Linked DNA regions of Macaca mulatta. The protein of the gene in region 1 purifies or fractionates together with the protein of each later gene. This does not show direct contact. Links are inferred from orthologs where the notes say so. Each region holds a gene or a part of one and is shown in the gene's direction. Other genes may lie near its edges.

Region 1 (4,520 bases):
CGTCAGGCCTCAGAGCCAGTGGCGAAAGGCGGCGCAGGCAGGGGCAGGAGACACTTGAGGGCCCCCAAGACCCCATCTGGGCCCAGCTGACAGTCCGCAGCCCCCACCCCGGCCGCGGTAAAGAATGCGAGGGACGCACGTGGCCGGGGGTCTCTGTAGCAAGCTCCTTCCCCCGCCGCGGTGAAAGCGTTAGCGTGCCACACTCAAGGGGCCCCAGGGCCCAGCCGCCTCGGTCCCCAGGATCCCGGGGATCACAGCGCCCAGCGAACTACCGGGCAGAGTTCTTCCTGTGGGTGCTCGGACCTGGCGGCCCCGGCGGCCTGGACACCCTCGCTCCGGCCGTTGGCGCCCACCTGAATGGGGGGTGGGGGGAGGAAGCGGTGGCTTCGGGCCTCGCGGACTGCGGCCCCCGCCTCGGGATCCCGGCCCCAGAGTCAAGTTTGTCTCCTCCCTCGGTGCGCCCCTCCCCATGGTCGCCCCGGCGTCCAGCTCGGCTATTCCCGGAGCCCGCCGGTCCCTCAGGAAAAAAAATCGGCGACTCCACGCTGGGTAACAACGCCTGTCCCGCGCGCCTAGCAAGTCGCGCGCTCCGGCCTGGAGAAGTAATTATAAAGAAAGTTTTCCAGCCCGGGCGGATCCACCGGCCAGGTCCTTCAGGCTCCCGGGCCGAGGCCGCCTCCGCTCCCCGCGGGGTCCTAGCGCCCCGCGCGGCGCCGCCCGTGGGATTCCACCGTCCTCCGAGAGGTGCCTCTGCGCGGAATCACAGGGGTAGCCTGGAGATCAGAGCTAGGAGACGCAGAGCCACCGCGCTCCGGGTCTCTCCGCGAGTCCCAAACGGCCCCCCACCGGCCCCTGCCCGCCCCGCCGCTCTGCGCCGCAGCCTCCCCGGGACGCGGGTCCCGGACAGGCCTGGTTCTGGCTTTGAAAGAGAGTCCGAGCCACAGCAGCTCAAGACCAAGACTCCCCTCCGCCACCCACCCCTACCCCATGCAGCCTCGGGATACTCCTGGGCTCCCAGCCGTGGCAGAATGTGGGTGCCTAGGGGAGGCGGGAGGAGGGGGCCCCCGCCACCAACCACGAGGGCGCAGGGGCGACAGCTGGGCCGGGGGCGGAGCTTGGAGCGAGCGCCGCGGCTCTGCTGGTCGCGCAGGAGGCGGTGGGCGTTGCGCCGCGGCCTGCCTGAGGAGCGCAGCGCTGGGCCCCGCTTGTTCGCCGCTCCATCCCGGCCGCGCGCTAGGACCCAGCGGGCGCCGCGCCGCCGCCGCCCGGGGACAGAGGCCGCCTCGGACTCTAGGGGGCGACGCGGCCGCGGGGTATAAAAGCTGGGCCGGCGCGGGCCGGGCCATTCGCGACCCGGAGCTGCGCGGGCGCGGGCGAGTCGGGTCTCCGGGTGGGCGGCGGCGACGCCCCGCGCAGGCTGGAGGCCGCCGAGGCTCGCCATGCCGGGAGAACTCTAGCTCCCCCATGGAGTCGGCCGACTTCTACGAGGCGGAGCCGCGGCCCCCGATGAGCAGCCACCTGCAGAGTCCCCCGCACGCGCCCAGCAGCGCCGCCTTCGGCTTTCCCCGCGGCGCGGGCCCCGCGCAGCCTCCCGCCCCACCTGCCGCCCCGGAGCCGCTGGGCGGCATCTGCGAGCACGAGACGTCCATCGACATCAGCGCCTACATCGACCCGGCCGCCTTCAACGACGAGTTCCTGGCCGACCTGTTCCAGCACAGCCGGCAGCAGGAGAAGGCCAAGGCGGCCGCGGGCCCCGCGGGCGGCGGCGGCGGCGGCGGCGACTTTGACTACCCGGGCGCGCCCGCGGGCCCCGGGGGCGCCGTCATGCCCGGGGGAGCGCACGGGCCCCCGCCCGGCTACGGCTGCGCGGCCGCCGGCTACCTGGACGGCAGGCTGGAGCCCCTGTACGAGCGCGTCGGGGCGCCGGCGCTGCGGCCGCTGGTGATCAAGCAGGAGCCCCGCGAGGAGGATGAAGCCAAGCAGCTGGCGCTGGCCGGCCTCTTCCCTTACCAGCCGCCGCCGCCGCCGCCGCCCTCACACCCGCACCCGCCGCCAGCGCACCTGGCCGCCCCGCACCTGCAGTTCCAGATAGCGCACTGCGGCCAGACCACCATGCACCTGCAGCCCGGTCACCCTACGCCGCCACCCACGCCCGTGCCCAGCCCGCACCCCGCGCCCGCGCTCGGCGCCGCCGGCCTGCCGGGCCCCGGCGGCGCGCTCAAGGGGCTGGGCGCCGCGCACCCCGACCTCCGCGCGAGTGGCGGCGGCGGCACGGGCAAGGCCAAGAAGTCGGTGGACAAGAACAGCAACGAGTACCGGGTGCGGCGCGAGCGCAACAACATCGCGGTGCGCAAGAGCCGCGACAAGGCCAAGCAGCGCAACGTGGAGACGCAGCAGAAGGTGCTGGAGCTGACCAGTGACAATGACCGCCTGCGCAAGCGGGTGGAACAGCTGAGCCGCGAACTGGACACGCTGCGGGGCATCTTCCGCCAGCTGCCAGAGAGCTCCTTGGTCAAGGCCATGGGCAACTGCGCGTGAGGCGCGCGGCTGAGGGACCGCCCTGGGCCAGCCTCCGGCGGGGACCCAGGGGTGGTTTGGGGTCGCCGGATCTCGAGGCTTGCCCGAGCCATGCGAGCCAGGACTAGGAGATTCCGGTGCCTCCCGAAAGCCTGGCCTGCTCCGCGTGTCCCCTCCCTTCTTCTGCGCCGGACTTGGTGCGTCTGAGATGAGGGGGCCAGGCGGTGACTTCTCCCTGCAAGGAGGGGAGAATTCTTGGGGCTGAGCTGGGAGCCCGGCAACTTTAGTATTAAGGATAACCTTGTGCCTTGGAAATGCAAACTCACCGCTCCGATGCCTACCGAGTAGGGGGAGCAAATCGTGCCTTGTCATTTTATTTGGAGGTTTCCTGCCTCCTTCCCGAGGCTGCAGCAGGCCCCCATGAGAGGAGGAGGGGAGCAGGCCCGTGGCAGGAGGAGGGCTCAGGGAGCTGAGATCCCGACAAGCCAACCGGCCCCAGCCGCTCCTCCGCGCCTGTCCTTAGAAATGGGGGGAAACATAGGGACTTGGGGCTTGAAACCTAAGGTTGTTCCCCTAGTTCTACATGAAGGTGGAGGGTCTAGTTCCACGCCTCTCCCACCTCCCTCCGCACACACCCCACCCCAGCCTGCTATAGGCTGGGCTTTCCCTTGGGGCGGAACTCACTGAGATGGGAGTCACCAGGTGACCAGTGGGAGCCCCCACCACGAGTTAGACCAGAAAGCTAGGTCGTGAGTCAGCTCTGAGGATGTATACCCCTGGTGGGAGATGGAGACCTAGAGATCTGGCCGTGGGCGGGCTTGGGGGGTGAAGGGCCACTGGGACCCTCAGCCTTGTTTGTACTGTATGCCTTCAGCATTGCCTAGGAACACGAAGCACGATCAGTCCATCCCAGAGGGACCGGAGTTATGACAAGCTTTCCAAATATTTTGCTTTATCAGCCGATATCAACACTTGTATCTGGCCTCTGTGCCCCAGCAGTGCCTTGTGCAATGTGAATGTGCGCGTCTCTGCTAAACCACCATTTTATTTGGTTTTTGTTTTGTTTTGGTTTTGCTCGGATACTTGCCAAAATGAGACTCTCCATCGGCAGCTGGGGGAAGGGTCTGAGACTCTCTTTCCTTTTGGTTTTGGGATTACTTTTGATCCTGGGGGACCAATGAGGTGAGGGGAGTTCTCCTTTGCCCTCAGCTTTCCCCGGCCCCTCCGGCCTGGGCTGCCCACAAGGCTTGTCCCCCAGAGGCCCTGGCTCCTGGTCGGGAAGGGAGGTGGCCTCTCGCCAACACATCACTGGGGCTGGGAGCAGGGAAAGACGGCTTGGTTCTCTTCTTTTGGGGAGAACGTAGAGTCTCACCGTAGATGTTTTATGTATTATATCTATAATATAAACATATCGAAAGTCAATGTCCGTGTCTTTTTAAAACCAGAAAGAAGCTACTTCCAAGGTTGTCTGTGGGCCAGGCCACATTTGTAAATAATACAGCATTTTCCCTGGCGGCAATCCTGACTTTCATGAGCTCTCCATCCACCCCCAGCCCCTCTTTACCCTAAGGGGGTGACTTACTTCCCCCAGGCAACACAAATAAATAGCAGAGGACAAGGCTCCAAACGGAGAGTGTCCAGAGCCTGAAGGCAGTCTTGGGGTCAGGAGAGGGGGCCTTCGAAGAGGTTAGGGGGCTGAGGCTTTGGCAAGGTCTTATCTGCCCCTGGGAGGAGGAGAGGGAGTCCTCTGCATGAGGGGCAGGCCCGGCTCAGCAGGCCTAGGCTCAAGGAGCCCTTTGTCCAGACTTCCTTCCAAATCACCTACAGCTCCAGCCCCGGCAGCCTCACTCACACCCACCGCAGCTCCAGCTTCCACCAGGATCCTCAGCCAGCAGGAATAGGCCTCCAGTGGTAGGACCCTCCAACCCTCTGCTCTTTCCCTAGACCATGTGGCTATACCCTACCCCTTCGAGGCCCAAAGGCAGCCTGAAGAGAAAGACCCC
Region 2 (4,519 bases), on another chromosome or scaffold:
AGGTCTTTCCGCTTTCAGTGATGATCAGTTGATAATTGATGATCTGGTGGAGTGGTCCTCAATGGGAGAGTTGGGGGCAATTTTACACTCCCTTACACCCCACTAATCTTCCCCCCAATCCAGTGGTAAAGCTATTGCACAGTACTTGGCAATGTCTAGAGACAATTTTGGTTGTCACAGCCTGCGGGGAAGGTGCTACTGGCATCTAGTGGGTAGAGGCTAAGGATGCTGCTTAATTTTTTTTTTTTTTTTTTTTTTTTTTTTTTGGAGACAAGAGTTTCGCTCTAGTTGCCCAGGCACAGAACAGCTTCCTACAAAAAAGAATTACCTGGCCCAAAATGTCATTAGCTTCCAAGCTGAGAAACCTGCTCTTCTAGGCCAGGCACCATGGCTCATGCCTGTAACATTGGGAGGCCGAGGCGGGCGGATCCTGAGCTCAGGAGTCGGAGACCACCTTGACCAACATGGAGAAACCTCGTCTCTACTAAAAATACAAAGTTAGCCGGGCGTGGTGGCGCATGCCTGTAAGGCCAGCTACTCGGGAGGCTGAGGCAGGAGAACCGCTTGAACCCAGACGCAGAGATTGCGGTGAGCCGAGATCACACAGCACAGATCACACCATTGTACTCCAGCCAGGGCAACTAAAGCGGAACTGTCCTCAGGGAAGGGAAGGGAAGGGAGGGGAGGGGAGAGGAGGGGAGGGGAAGGGAGGGGAAGAGAAGGGAAGGAAAAAGGAAAGGAAAAAGGAAAGGAAAGGAAAGGAAAGGAAAGGAAAATCTGCTCTCCTATCATAGGATAATCCCATTTCTTCCTGTCTAAAGAGACTCCTACTTAAGTCATCCTGGGTGACTGCTTCAGGGAGGTAGGTTTTGGAGTCAGAAAGGCTGGGTTCTGTCACTTTGTTACAGTGCCTCTGGTGCAAAGAAGGCATTCAAAAAACCCTGTACAGTTGAAAAATTGAATTTAATTACTTTGTGTAACTTTGAGTAATTCACAGAAATCTGAACTTCTTTATCCTGTCCTGTAAAATGGAGGTAAAAAGCCCTTGGCCGAGAGGTGTTTTGAGGAAAAACTGAAATAACATTGGTAAACTGTCGCACAGTACTTGGCACACAGCAGCCCCTCGACAAACAGCTTTCTTTCCCTTTCTTGTCAGTTTCTTCCTCTCAAAACCAGCGTGTTGCTTTTCTTTTTAATTTAATTATTTTTCTGTAGCCCTCCTTTGCGATCACAAACTCGCTTTCTAACCCAGGTTCAGCCCTTTTATTGGCTGAGTGACCTTGTGCAAGTCACTTTTCCCCTGTAGGCCTCGGTTTATTCTCCGTAAAATCAGAAAGTTGGCCTCCGATCTCCAAGCACGCTTTTCACGACCAAGTGGGACTGTTAAGTTTACGGAGCTGCTTTCCTCCCCCGGGACTGATGGTACGGTCCCCGGGCGGCTCCCCACCCATCTGTCGCAGACCTTGGTACAGGCCCAGGGGGCCCTCGGCGGCCTCTCCGGGCTGCCCTTGCCCCCTGCCGAGTTCCGGGCCCGTGTCTGCGCAAGCTGATTGGCTGGAGCGGTGCCCGGGCTGCGCGGCTATAGGTGAGCTCAGGAGGGGACGGGCGGGGCGGGCCGGAGACCCGCCCCCTCCCCCCTGGGTCGGACGCTGAGCTGAGCCGCGGGCGGGAGGGCGGACGGACCGACTGACGGTAGGGACGGGAGGCGAGCAAGATGGCGCAGACGCAGGGCACCCGGAGGAAAGTCTGTTACTACTACGACGGTGAGCACTGTCCTCGCGGCGGGGGCGGGGCCGGGCCGGGCCGAACCGGGGACCTGGAGGCTGAGGCTGGAGCGCCGATGGGAGGCTGCGGGAGGCTGAGGCGCTGGGGAGAGGCTCGGAGAGGAGGCTGCGAGGGGGAAGTCGAGGCTGAGGGAGGAGGCTGTGAGGAAAGGAGATCGAGGCTGAGATCGAGGGGATCGCGTGGGGGAACCCTGAGGTAATCTTGGTGGGAAGATTCTGAGGAAGTCTGATGTGGAGAGTTTGATGTGGAGAGTTTGAGTGGGACTCCTAGAGGGGAGGGTGCGTCCGAGGAGGGAGGCTGAATCTGATGGAGACGGCTGCAAGGATACATTTTCTTGCCGAGAACCCAAAGCTCTTCCCTGCCCCGTCTCTTCCTCATCTTTTCTGGGAGAAGAGCCCTGCACGACTGGTCGCCCGCCTCCCCTCCCCCAGCCTCTGAGCGGGGCCTGCGGTTGCTACTGCGACGTGGGGCGCCAGGGGTTGCAAGGAGAAGGATGCAACCTGTTAAAACAGGCTTCTCACTTAATCTCTCAAGCAGGTTACTGTGTTCGAGGAAGTGTTGAGGGGCTGGGGCGGTGGGAATGATCGGGTCCCAGTGACCGAAGTTCTCTCCGTGTCAGAGCTCAGAGTGTTAGAGGAGCACAGAGAATAGGCACCGAACTCCACCTGAGGAGTCAGCGAAGGAGGGGACGTCTCAGGACCTGAAGAACAGGAGTTCTTAGCCAGGCAAAGGGAAGGCAAAGATAACAGCAAGTTTCAGAGGCAAGAGAGAGGACAGCACCTTTGAAAAACAGGCATTTGACCGGGCGCGGTGGCTCACGCCTGTAATCCGAGCGCTTTGGGAGGCCAGGGCAGGCGGATCACTTGAGGTCAGGAGTTCGAGACCAGCCTGGCCAACATGGCAAAACCCTGTCTCTACAAAAATATAAAAAGTAGCTGGGCGTGGTGGCGCGCGCCTGTAATTCCAGCTACTTGGGAGGCTGAGGCAGGAGAATCCCTTGAACTTGGGAGGTGGAGGTTGCAGTGAGATGAGATCAGGCCACTGGATTCCAGCCTGGGTGACAGAGCAAGACTCTGTCTCAAAAAAAAAAAAAAGGGAAGAAAGAAAAGCAGGCATTTGTAACAGTATGGCTGAGACATAGATTTGGGGGCCTATTGTAGAAGGTGGGGACCCGGGGCGAGGGAAGTGTTGCAAATAATGTGGTTGCTGAAGTAAATGGAGACCGACCAGGTGAGGTGGCTCACACCTGTAATCCCAGCACTTTGGGAGGCCAAGGCTGGTGGATCATCTGAGGTCAGGAGTTCGAGACCAGCCTGGCCAACATGGCGAAACCCCGTCTCTACTAAAAATACAAAATTAGCCGGGCATGGTGTCGCGCACCTGTAATCCCAGCTACTCTGGAGCCTGAGGCAGGAGAATCCCTTAGAACCCGGGAGGTGGAGGTTGCAGTGAGCCAAGATCATACCACTGCACTCCAGCTTGGACAACGGAGTGAGGCTATGTCTTAAAAAAAAAAAAATGTAAACAGGGACCAGACCATGAAGGGCTGGGCATGCTGTCCCAAGGAAGTTGGACTTTATTGAGGGCACTTGTGAATGATTCAAGTTTTATGCAGGTTAGTGACATCATCAGGTTTATACCTTAGAAATTAAAGTCATGGGCTGGGCACGGTGGCTCACACCTGTACTCCCAGCACTTTGGGAGGCTGAGGAGGGCAGATCACGAAGTCAGGAGATCGAGACCATCCTGGCTAACTTGTGAAACCCCGTCTCTACTAAAAATACAAAAAAATTAGCCGAGCGTGGTGGCGGGCGCCTATAATCCCAGCTACTTGGGAGGCTGAGGCAGGAGAATGGTGTGGATGCGGGAGGTGGAGCTTGCAGTGAGCGGAGATCATGCCACTGCACTCTATCCTGGGCGACAGAGGGAGACTCCGTCTCAAAAAAAAAAAAAAGAGAAAGAAATTAAAGTCATGGGGTCCAGGTGCAGTGGCTCACGCCTGTAATCCCAGTACTTTGGGAGGCCGAGGCAGGAGATCACTCGAGGCCAGGAGTTCAAGACCAGCCTGGCCAACGTGGTGAAACCCCGTCTCTACTAAAAATACAAAAATTACCTGGGCGTAGTGGCACGCACCTGTAATCCCAGCTACTCAGGAGGCTGAGGCAGGAGAATCACTTGAACCTGGGAGGCAGAGGTTGCAGTGAGCCAAGATTGCGCCACCGCACTCTAGCCTGGGCAACAGGGTGAGACTCGATCTCAAAAAAATAAAAAAATTAGCCAGGTGTGGTGGCACATGCCTGTAGTCCCAGCTACTCAGGAGGCTGAGGCATAAGAATTGTTTGAAACTGGGAGGCGGAGGTTGCAGTGAGCTGAGTTCTCACCACTGCACTCCATCCTGAGCAAAAGATAGAGACTTGGTCTCAAAAAAACAAAAACGAACAAAAAAAGAAATTCAGATTTTAGGGGTAAGGAAGAAGGCATGGATCCCAAGTTCCTGGTGTGGGCAATACATATATATATAGAGAGAGAGAGACAGTGTCTAGCTCTGTCACCCAGGCTGGAGTGCAGTGGCATGATCTTGGCTCACTGCAACTGCAACGTCCATCTCCTAGATTCAAGGGATTCTCCTGCCTCAGCCTCCTGAGTAGCCAGGATTACAGGCGTACGCCACCATGCTTGGCTAATTTTTGTATTTTTATTAGAGATGGGGTTTCACCATGTTGGCCAGGCTCGT
Region 3 (4,737 bases), on another chromosome or scaffold:
GGGGGCATCTGTATTAACATGTATTCCATTTTGCTCTAAATCACGGTTTATATTCATCTTCTAGTTTGAACTCTTATATTCTCAGCCAGATGGTTAAGGAAAACAAGTTAGAGTGGAAGGAGTGGCAAATAGGGTAATAAAATGGCTTTAGATTTTACACAAATTCTCACAAATGAGACACTAACCGCTTTCCTCCTTTACTCCCATACCCTCAAAGGGCTAGGACATGAAGACCTTGGAGCCAATAAAACAAAGAAAGTAGGAGAAATCTACCTACGTCTACCTCGGTGTCTGTGGGCAGAGGCCATTTGGGAAAAAGTGTGTTCTGGACACCGCTAAGTGCTAAGAAAGAGGCACTAGGGAAAAAGAGGGAAGCACAATGACTCCAAATGAGCAGTCACAAGGTTTACAGAAGGAGACATGTCATTTTCATTCATTGTGGTGGTCTGGAGGGTGCAGGGGGTGTGGTGGTAACTTTCTTGCACATGTACACTCCTGTATCCATCTTATATATTACATGTAATAAATAATATATACATACATATATACATAGAAGTATATATACACATATAAAAATATCACATAATCATAGAACCGTCCTACTGGGGAAAAAAAAAACTTAAAGGTCAAGTATTCCTGTCTCCTGCTCATTAATAACTTCTCTGCCAGATGGCCTCAGGTCTTTGCATTAACACTCCCAGGGAGATTTGGAAGTTGAGAAAAGAGGGGGCATTACCTTGTCACTGAACCTGTTGGATTACTGTATTAATCTGCCTTCTGTCCGTCCTTTAATCGTAGTTTTGCCCTCAAATGGGCATTGTTTACTCCCTATTTTAGAAGACCCCATTGTTGGCTACATCTTTCTAGATAGTCGTACCACTACTTTAAAGGGCCAGTGACAGACACCAGAAACAAAACAAAATAAAAACCCACATACACACTGGAAGCAAGCACTCAGTAAAATGTTGTAGAATTAATGAATGAATCAATGACACAAATGAGAGTATGTTTTATCATGGTGGAGCGAAAAGGTGACAGCATCACCTCTGGTACCCCAACTCCCATTCCCTCCCCAATGTAGACAGGCTGAAAGACCGGTAGTGAGACTGGAGTTCAGCCTTCAGACCGGTAGTGAGACAATCCTTCAGCCGGGAGTTGGGCTCTGGGTGGCCTAGGTTGCCATGGCACCGCCTCGGGCTCCACCCTCTCTTGTCCCCTTACCGCGCCCCCCCGCGGCGGGGGTTGTGGCAGCCAGTCATGTGCCCGCCGCGTAACCACACCTCTGCTCCTCAGAGCAATGTCAAGCGGTCACGTGTGATAGCAACAGATCACGTGGCTACCATCGCCCCTCCGCCCCCTTACACTCTTCGCCCTCCTCCCCGTCAAAGCGGCTCCTGGCCACCCCTCCGCGCATGGGTGGCAGTCACGTGCCCAGAACGTCCGGCGTTCGCCCCGCCCTCCCAGTTTCCGCGCGCCTCTTTGGCAGCTGGTCACATGGTGAGGGTGGGGGTGAGGGGGCCTCTCTAGCTTGCGGCCTGTGTCTATGGTCGGGCCCTCTGCGTCCAGCTGCCCCGGACCGAGCTTGGGTGTATGGGGCCGTAGGAACCAGCTCCGGGGCCCCGATAACGGGCCGCCCCCGCAGCACCCCGGCCTGGCGTGAGGTAAGTGCAGTCCCTTCCCGGGAATGAGAACCAGTGCCCGCCCCCCTCACAGTTTTCCACGCGTTCGTTTCTCGAGCTGGTTATGGAGGGGTCGCTCAAGGGCGGGAAGTGGGGCCTTTGTGGTCATGGGAAAGTATAATTTTAGGGACTGAGGTGTAGGATCTTTGATGCAAGGCATGTGTCATGTGTGATCTTTGTGCAGGGCGCGATTGTCCCAAAGGAAAATGCGTTTTTTATTGCAGGGCCTCACGTGGCTGGAGGGGTTGGTATTGAGTCATTGTGTTATCTCTGGGGCCGGCCCCAAGGAAGGCTGCGAGCGGGGGATGGGATGCTAGTGTTGCTCTTTGTGCTTTTTTTTGGGAGTCCTTTTGTTGCTGCAGGCTCATACCATGCTAATTCTGTAAGGGACTTTTGGTGATAGGAGTCTGTGATTGTAGGGTCGCCCTTGATCTGAGAATGGCTACCTCTCGATATGAGCCAGTGGCTGAAATTGGTGTCGGTGCCTATGGGACAGTGTACAAGGCCCGTGATCCCCACAGTGGCCACTTTGTGGCCCTCAAGAGTGTGAGAGTCCCCAATGGAGGAGGAGCTGGAGGAGGCCTTCCCATCAGCACAGTTCGGGAGGTGGCCTTACTGAGGCGACTGGAGGCTTTTGAACATCCCAATGTAGTCCGGTGAGAAGGTGGTGACGAGGGGAGTGGGGAGTAAAGGGAAAAGACAGCCTATAGGTGGGGTGTGGTGATCTGTAGAGAAGTGGGGACCCTGAGGAAATAATGAGAGGCCATGTTGGGTTAAAGGGGATTGAAAAGTGAGCATTTACTCTGGCCAGGCTGATGGACGTCTGTGCCACATCCCGAACTGACCGGGAGATCAAGGTAACCCTGGTGTTTGAGCATGTAGACCAAGACCTAAGGACGTATCTGGACAAAGCACCCCCACCAGGCTTGCCAGCCGAGACCATCAAGGTGAGTGGGGTTGGTAGGCATTGAGAGGTGGATTGGGACCTTTGTAGTAAAACCTCCTGGGATTTCAGGTATGGTGTGCCTAGTTTCCAGTGCATCTGTACCTCCCCCTTCTAAACTAGGATTTGATGCGCCAGTTTCTAAGAGGCCTAGATTTCCTTCATGCAAATTGCATCGTTCACCGAGATCTGAAGCCAGAGAACATTCTGGTGACAAGTGGTGGAACAGTCAAGCTGGCTGACTTTGGCCTGGCCAGAATCTACAGCTACCAGATGGCACTTACACCCGTGGTCAGTAGAAAGATGGTACCAAAATGGGTTCTGGTTGGGAGTAGGAGAGTGATTGCCTGTAGCAATTGAGAAGTCATGTGCTTCGTGTGTTCAGTCAAGCAAGTTGTGTTTTGTGGTAACCCATGGAGTCCCCATCCATTCTTCCTATTCTCTTTAGGTTGTTACACTCTGGTACCGAGCTCCCGAAGTTCTTCTGCAGTCCACATATGCAACACCTGTGGACATGTGGAGTGTTGGCTGTATCTTTGCAGAGATGTTTCGTCGAAAGTATGGGACCCACATACCCTGGACCACCTTGAATTCCCCAAATTGCTTGTTCATAAACCACGTCCACACCCTGCCCATTCTTTCTTTTTCTCTTTTTTTTTTTTTTTTTTTTTTTTTTGAGACCAGGGCTTGCTTTGTTGCTCAGGCTGGATTGCAATGGCATGATCACAGCTCACTGCAGTGTCAACCTCCTGGGCTCAAGTGATCCTCCCATCTCAGCCTCCCAAGTAGCTGACACTCCATGCCCAGCTAGTTTTTTAATATTTCTGTAGAGAGGGGGGGTCTCAGTATATTGCCCAGGCTGGTCTTGAACTCTTGTACTCAAGCAGTCCTCCCACCGCTATCTCCCAAAGTGCTGGGATTACAAGCGTGAACTACTGGACCTGGCCCCATTCTTTTACTTGCATACTACTGACTACTTTGCCCATAGCAGAAAGCTCTGAAATGCTCTAGAATTAGGAACTTCATATCCCTTTATTCTCTTTTATTTATTTATTTATTTTTGCAATAAGGTTTCACTCTGTCACCCAGGCTGGAGTGCAATGGCCCAATTACAGCTCACTGTAGCCTCTATCTCCTGGGCTCAAGCAATTCTCCCATCTCAGCCTCCTGAGTAGCAGAAACTATAGGTGCATGCCACCATGACTGGCTTTTTTTTTTTTTTTGAGACGGAGTCTCGCCTTGTCGCCAGGCTGGAGTGCAGTGGTGCGATCTCAGCTCACTGCAACCTCCGCCTCCCAGGTTCAAGTGATTCTCCTGACTCAGCCTCCCAAGTAGCTGGGACTACAGGTGCGTGCCACCACGTCCAGCTAATTTTTGTATTTTTAGTAGAGACGGGGTTTCACCATGTTGGCCAGGATGGTCTCAATCTCTTGACCTCATGATCCACCTGCCTCAGCCTCCTAACGTGCTGGGATTACAGGCGTGAGCCACTGTGCCCAGCAATTTTTTTTTTTTTTTTTTTTTTTTTTTTAAGAGACAAGGTCTTGCTTGCCCAGGCTGATCTGGAACTCCTGGGCTCAAGCAGTCCTCTCACCTTAGCATCCCAAAGTGCTGGAATTATCGACCTTTATTCCCTGTGCTTTCTATTTTGGGCCACTAAGCAGTAACCATTCAACTAAGATATCTTTGAAAATGACTGCTACCTTATGTCCCTTCTCACCTTAGGCCTCTCTTCTGTGGAAACTCTGAAGCTGACCAGTTGGGCAAAATCTTTGAGTAAGTGACCAACGTGGGAGAAAAAGATTTTCTATTCTCAGTCCTCTTTCTGCTAAGCCCAGGATGGCAACTGGCTCTGCCCATGGGGATGGGAACTGGAGGACCCTCCTGACCAGAGTTCTCCTGTCCCCCACAGCCTGATTGGGCTGCCTCCAGAGGATGACTGGCCTCGAGATGTATCCCTGCCCCGTGGAGCCTTTCCCCCCAGAGGGCCCCGCCCAGTGCAGTCGGTGGTACCTGAGATGGAGGAGTCGGGAGCACAGCTGCTGCTGGTACTGGAGATGGCTGTGGGCATAGGGAGAGACTGGGGAAAGAAATAGAGCAGTGTGCAGGGCCCTG
Region 4 (3,198 bases), on another chromosome or scaffold:
GGTTCAGGCTGTTAACGTGCCTCCTGCATACATCCAGATGGAGAACTCGTACATGATGCTCGTGATGGGCTGGGAGACAAAGTGTTGCCATGTCAGGGGTCTGTGGGTGGGAACATAATGAAAAGGACCCCGAAGTGGGGACAGTGTGGCCAGGCAGCATGGAGAAGTGAGTGCCACTGGCTCAGCCTGGGCCTGAGCTCACTGGGGACCAGAGCTGCTTTGCATGTTGCTAAGGGGCGGGGAGGGCAGGGCACTTCCTTCACAGAATGCTCTTTCTCTTGCTTGGTAGGATGTTCTTTGGCAAAAACAAGGTAATGATGGTGGCCTTGGGTCGAAGCCCATCTGATGAGTACAAAGACAACCTGCACCAGGTAAATCTCTGGTTTTCACGGGGTGGGGCTGAGGCAGAGCCGCCTTCTCTCCCACTACTCCCACGTGATAGCCTCCCCTAGCCGTCGGCTGGCCCGTGGCTCAGGGAGAGCAGGGCCTGGCTTAAAGCTCTGGGTTCTCCCTTCACCTCCGGACCCAGGGAATAGCACCCTTCCTGCCTCCCACTCCTTCCTGCTGTGACCACCAGAAACATCTTTAAACGTTGCCAAATGTCCCCTGGTGAGCAAAAACGTGCCTAGTAGAGAACCACTGCTCTAATGTGACCAAGCTGGCCTCACTCTTGATTTGTAGGTCAGCAAAAGGTTGAGGGGTGAAGTGGGTCTCCTGTTCACCAACTGCACAAAGGAGGAGGTGAATGAGTAAGTACTGCTGAGGAACGGAGAGAAAGAGGCGGGTGAGGGGGATTTTAGGGAGGGGATGATGCAGGGACTTCATTCCATATGCGGCATCAAGTCGGAACTGCTCCTGGAAGCCTGTCACTGAGCTAGTGACCTGGGACCACAGCCCTCTCTGCCCTCTCCAGCATGGTGTGGTGGGCTGACTGCTGGCCAGCAGCCAAGGTCTGTAAAGGCCCAGGGCCACGGGACACTTGGGGGAGCCTGACTCATGGGCTGGTGGTGTGGCCAGGAGCATCCCCTCCTACCGCTTCTTTTTCCCTTAGGTGGTTCACAAAATACACAGAAATGGACTACGCCCGCGCTGGTAACAAAGCAGCATTCACTGTGAGCCTGGACCCGGGGCCCCTGGAGCAGTTCCCCCACTCCATGGAGCCACAGCTCAGGCAGCTGGGCCTGCCCACCACCCTCAAGAGAGGTATGGGCAGCCCTGGAGCCAAAAGCTCACAGCCTAGAGTCCAAGAGCACAAGCCTGCAAGCTCATCCCTTTCTGGCTGAGCAAGTTATTTCTACAAGCCTCCATTTTCTCATGTGAAAATGGGGCTAAGGGGCGGGCGCGGTGGCTCAAGCCTGTAATCCCAGCACTTTGGGAGGCCGAGGCGGGTGGATCACGAGGTCAGGAGATCGAGACTATCCTGGCTAACATGGTGAAACCCCGTCTCTACTAAAAATACAAAAAACTAGCCGGGCGTGGTGGCGGGCGCCTGTAGTCTCAGCTACTTGGGAGGCTGAGGCGGGAGAATGGCATGAACCCGGGAGGCGGAGCTTGCAGTGAGCCGAGATCACGCCACTGCACTCCAGCCTGGGAGACACAGCAAGACTCCGTCTCAAAAAAAAAAAAAAAAAAGAAAATGGGGCTAAGAGTGCACGCCTCACAGTTGGGGTGAAAGCAGACAGTAACTTATAGTCTTGCAGCTGTTGAGGGACAGGGACATCAGGGGCCTGGTGCCGGTTTAAAAAAAAAAAAAAAAGTCAAAAAATTAGACAGCCATGGTGGTGTGTGCCTGTGGTCCTAGCTACATGGGAGGCTGAGGCAAGAGGATCACTTGAACCCAGGAGGTCAAGGCTGTGGCGAATCAAAGGGACCTCAGGGAGACAGCCACTGCCCAGTGTGTGATGGAGCTGTGGGGAGGGCAGGTGGCTGACTGGATTCCTCCTAACGTGGCAGGGACAGAGAGGGCTCTGCAGGCCTCTGGGCCAGAGGTAACTGAGAGCCACCCTCTTCTGCAGGTGTAGTGACTCTGCTATCCGACTTTGAGGTGTGCAAGGAGGGCGATGTGCTGACCCCAGAGCAGGCTCGCGTCCTGGTGAGTCTGGCGCCTTGAGGGCTATTGCAGGAGGGGCCGCTGGCTGGCTTCTGCCTGCTGAAAACGACCCCCTGCACTTTGAATACCTCCATTCCTCCTGATTCTTTGTTCCCTTTGTCTCTTGCAGAAGCTTTTTGGGTATGAGATGGCTGAATTCAAGGTGACCATCAAATACATGTGGGATTCACAGTCGGGAAGGTTCCAGCAGATGGGAGATGACTTGCCAGAGAGCGCATCCGAGTCCGCAGAAGAGTCAGACTCAGAAGACGATGACTGAAAGGGACTCAAAATTAAAGGCCTCCTGGAACCTTCTGGGTCTCACTGGACCATGCAGGACTGCTGCCGCCCCTCTGAAGAGAGCAGCTGTTTATTTGTCTGTAGACAGGGAATGTGATGGGCACTGACCTCCTATAAAGAATAAAACTCTGGGCCGGGCGCAGTGGCTCAAGCCTGTAATCCCAGCACTTTCGGAGGCCGAGACAGGTGGATCACGAGGTCAGGAGACCGAGACCATCCTGGCTAACACGGTGAAACCCCATCTCTACTAAAAAATACAAAAAACTAGCCAGGCGAGGTGGCGGGCACCTGTAGTCCCAGCTACTCTGGAGGCTGAGGCAGGAGAATGGCCTAAACCCAGGAGGCGGAGCTTGCAGTGAGCTGAGATCCGGCCACTGCACTCCAGCCTCTGCACTCCAGCCTGGGCTACAGAGCGAGATTCCGTCTCAAAAAAAAAAAAAAGCTCTGGGCCAGGTGCAGTGGCTCACGCCAGTAATCCCAGCACTTTGGGAGGCCGAGGCGGGCAGACCATAAGGTCAGGAGATTAAGACCATCCTGACACAGTGAAACACAGTGAAACCCTGTCTCTACTACTGTTGCCCAGACTGGTCTGGAACTCCTGTCTTCAATCAGTCCTCCTGCCTTGGCCTCTCAAAGTGCTGAGATTAAAGGTGTGAGCCACTCTTTTTTTTTTTTTTTTTTTTTAAATGGCCGAATAATAGTCTGTTGTATGAATATGCCACATTTTCTTTATGCATTCATTCATTGATGGACATTTGGGTTGTTTTTAATTATCAGCTATTATGAGTAATGACACTGTGAAAACTCAT

The links.
Region 2: the proteins of CEBPA (region 1) and HDAC1 purify together in Homo sapiens (affinity purification with western blotting; 3 studies listed by BioGRID, with this or other methods). This does not show direct contact. The link is inferred for Macaca mulatta from reciprocal best matches to the Homo sapiens genes CEBPA and HDAC1.
Region 3: the proteins of CEBPA (region 1) and CDK4 purify together in Homo sapiens (affinity purification with western blotting; 3 studies listed by BioGRID, with this or other methods). This does not show direct contact. The link is inferred for Macaca mulatta from reciprocal best matches to the Homo sapiens genes CEBPA and CDK4.
Region 4: the proteins of CEBPA (region 1) and MRTO4 purify together in Homo sapiens (affinity purification with mass spectrometry; 3 studies listed by BioGRID and IntAct, with this or other methods). This does not show direct contact. The link is inferred for Macaca mulatta from reciprocal best matches to the Homo sapiens genes CEBPA and MRTO4.

Annotation. Positions count from the first base shown.
Region 1 is NC_133424.1:44,601,410-44,605,929, reverse strand, and holds CEBPA (CCAAT/enhancer-binding protein alpha), read left to right. Parts: upstream 1-1,344; 5' UTR 1,345-1,464; coding exon 1,465-2,538; 3' UTR 2,539-3,939; downstream 3,940-4,520. UniProt on the Homo sapiens protein: Transcription factor that coordinates proliferation arrest and the differentiation of myeloid progenitors, adipocytes, hepatocytes, and cells of the lung and the placenta.
Region 2 is NC_133406.1:208,584,538-208,589,056, reverse strand, and holds the start of HDAC1 (histone deacetylase 1), read left to right. Parts: upstream 1-1,648; 5' UTR 1,649-1,714; coding exon 1,715-1,763; intron 1,764-4,519. UniProt on the Homo sapiens protein: Histone deacetylase that catalyzes the deacetylation of lysine residues on the N-terminal part of the core histones (H2A, H2B, H3 and H4).
Region 3 is NC_133416.1:64,928,597-64,933,333, reverse strand, and holds the start of CDK4 (cyclin-dependent kinase 4), read left to right. Parts: upstream 1-1,505; 5' UTR 1,506-1,661; intron 1,662-2,098; 5' UTR 2,099-2,117; coding exon 2,118-2,335; intron 2,336-2,490; coding exon 2,491-2,626; intron 2,627-2,745; coding exon 2,746-2,913; intron 2,914-3,070; coding exon 3,071-3,180; intron 3,181-4,347; coding exon 4,348-4,398; intron 4,399-4,534; coding exon 4,535-4,670; intron 4,671-4,737.
Region 4 is NC_133406.1:221,715,459-221,718,656, reverse strand, and holds the end of MRTO4 (mRNA turnover protein 4 homolog), read left to right. Parts: intron 1-289; coding exon 290-371; intron 372-681; coding exon 682-749; intron 750-1,051; coding exon 1,052-1,203; intron 1,204-2,015; coding exon 2,016-2,092; intron 2,093-2,219; coding exon 2,220-2,369; 3' UTR 2,370-2,548; downstream 2,549-3,198. UniProt on the Homo sapiens protein: Component of the ribosome assembly machinery. Nuclear paralog of the ribosomal protein P0, it binds pre-60S subunits at an early stage of assembly in the nucleolus, and is replaced by P0 in cytoplasmic pre-60S subunits and mature 80S ribosomes.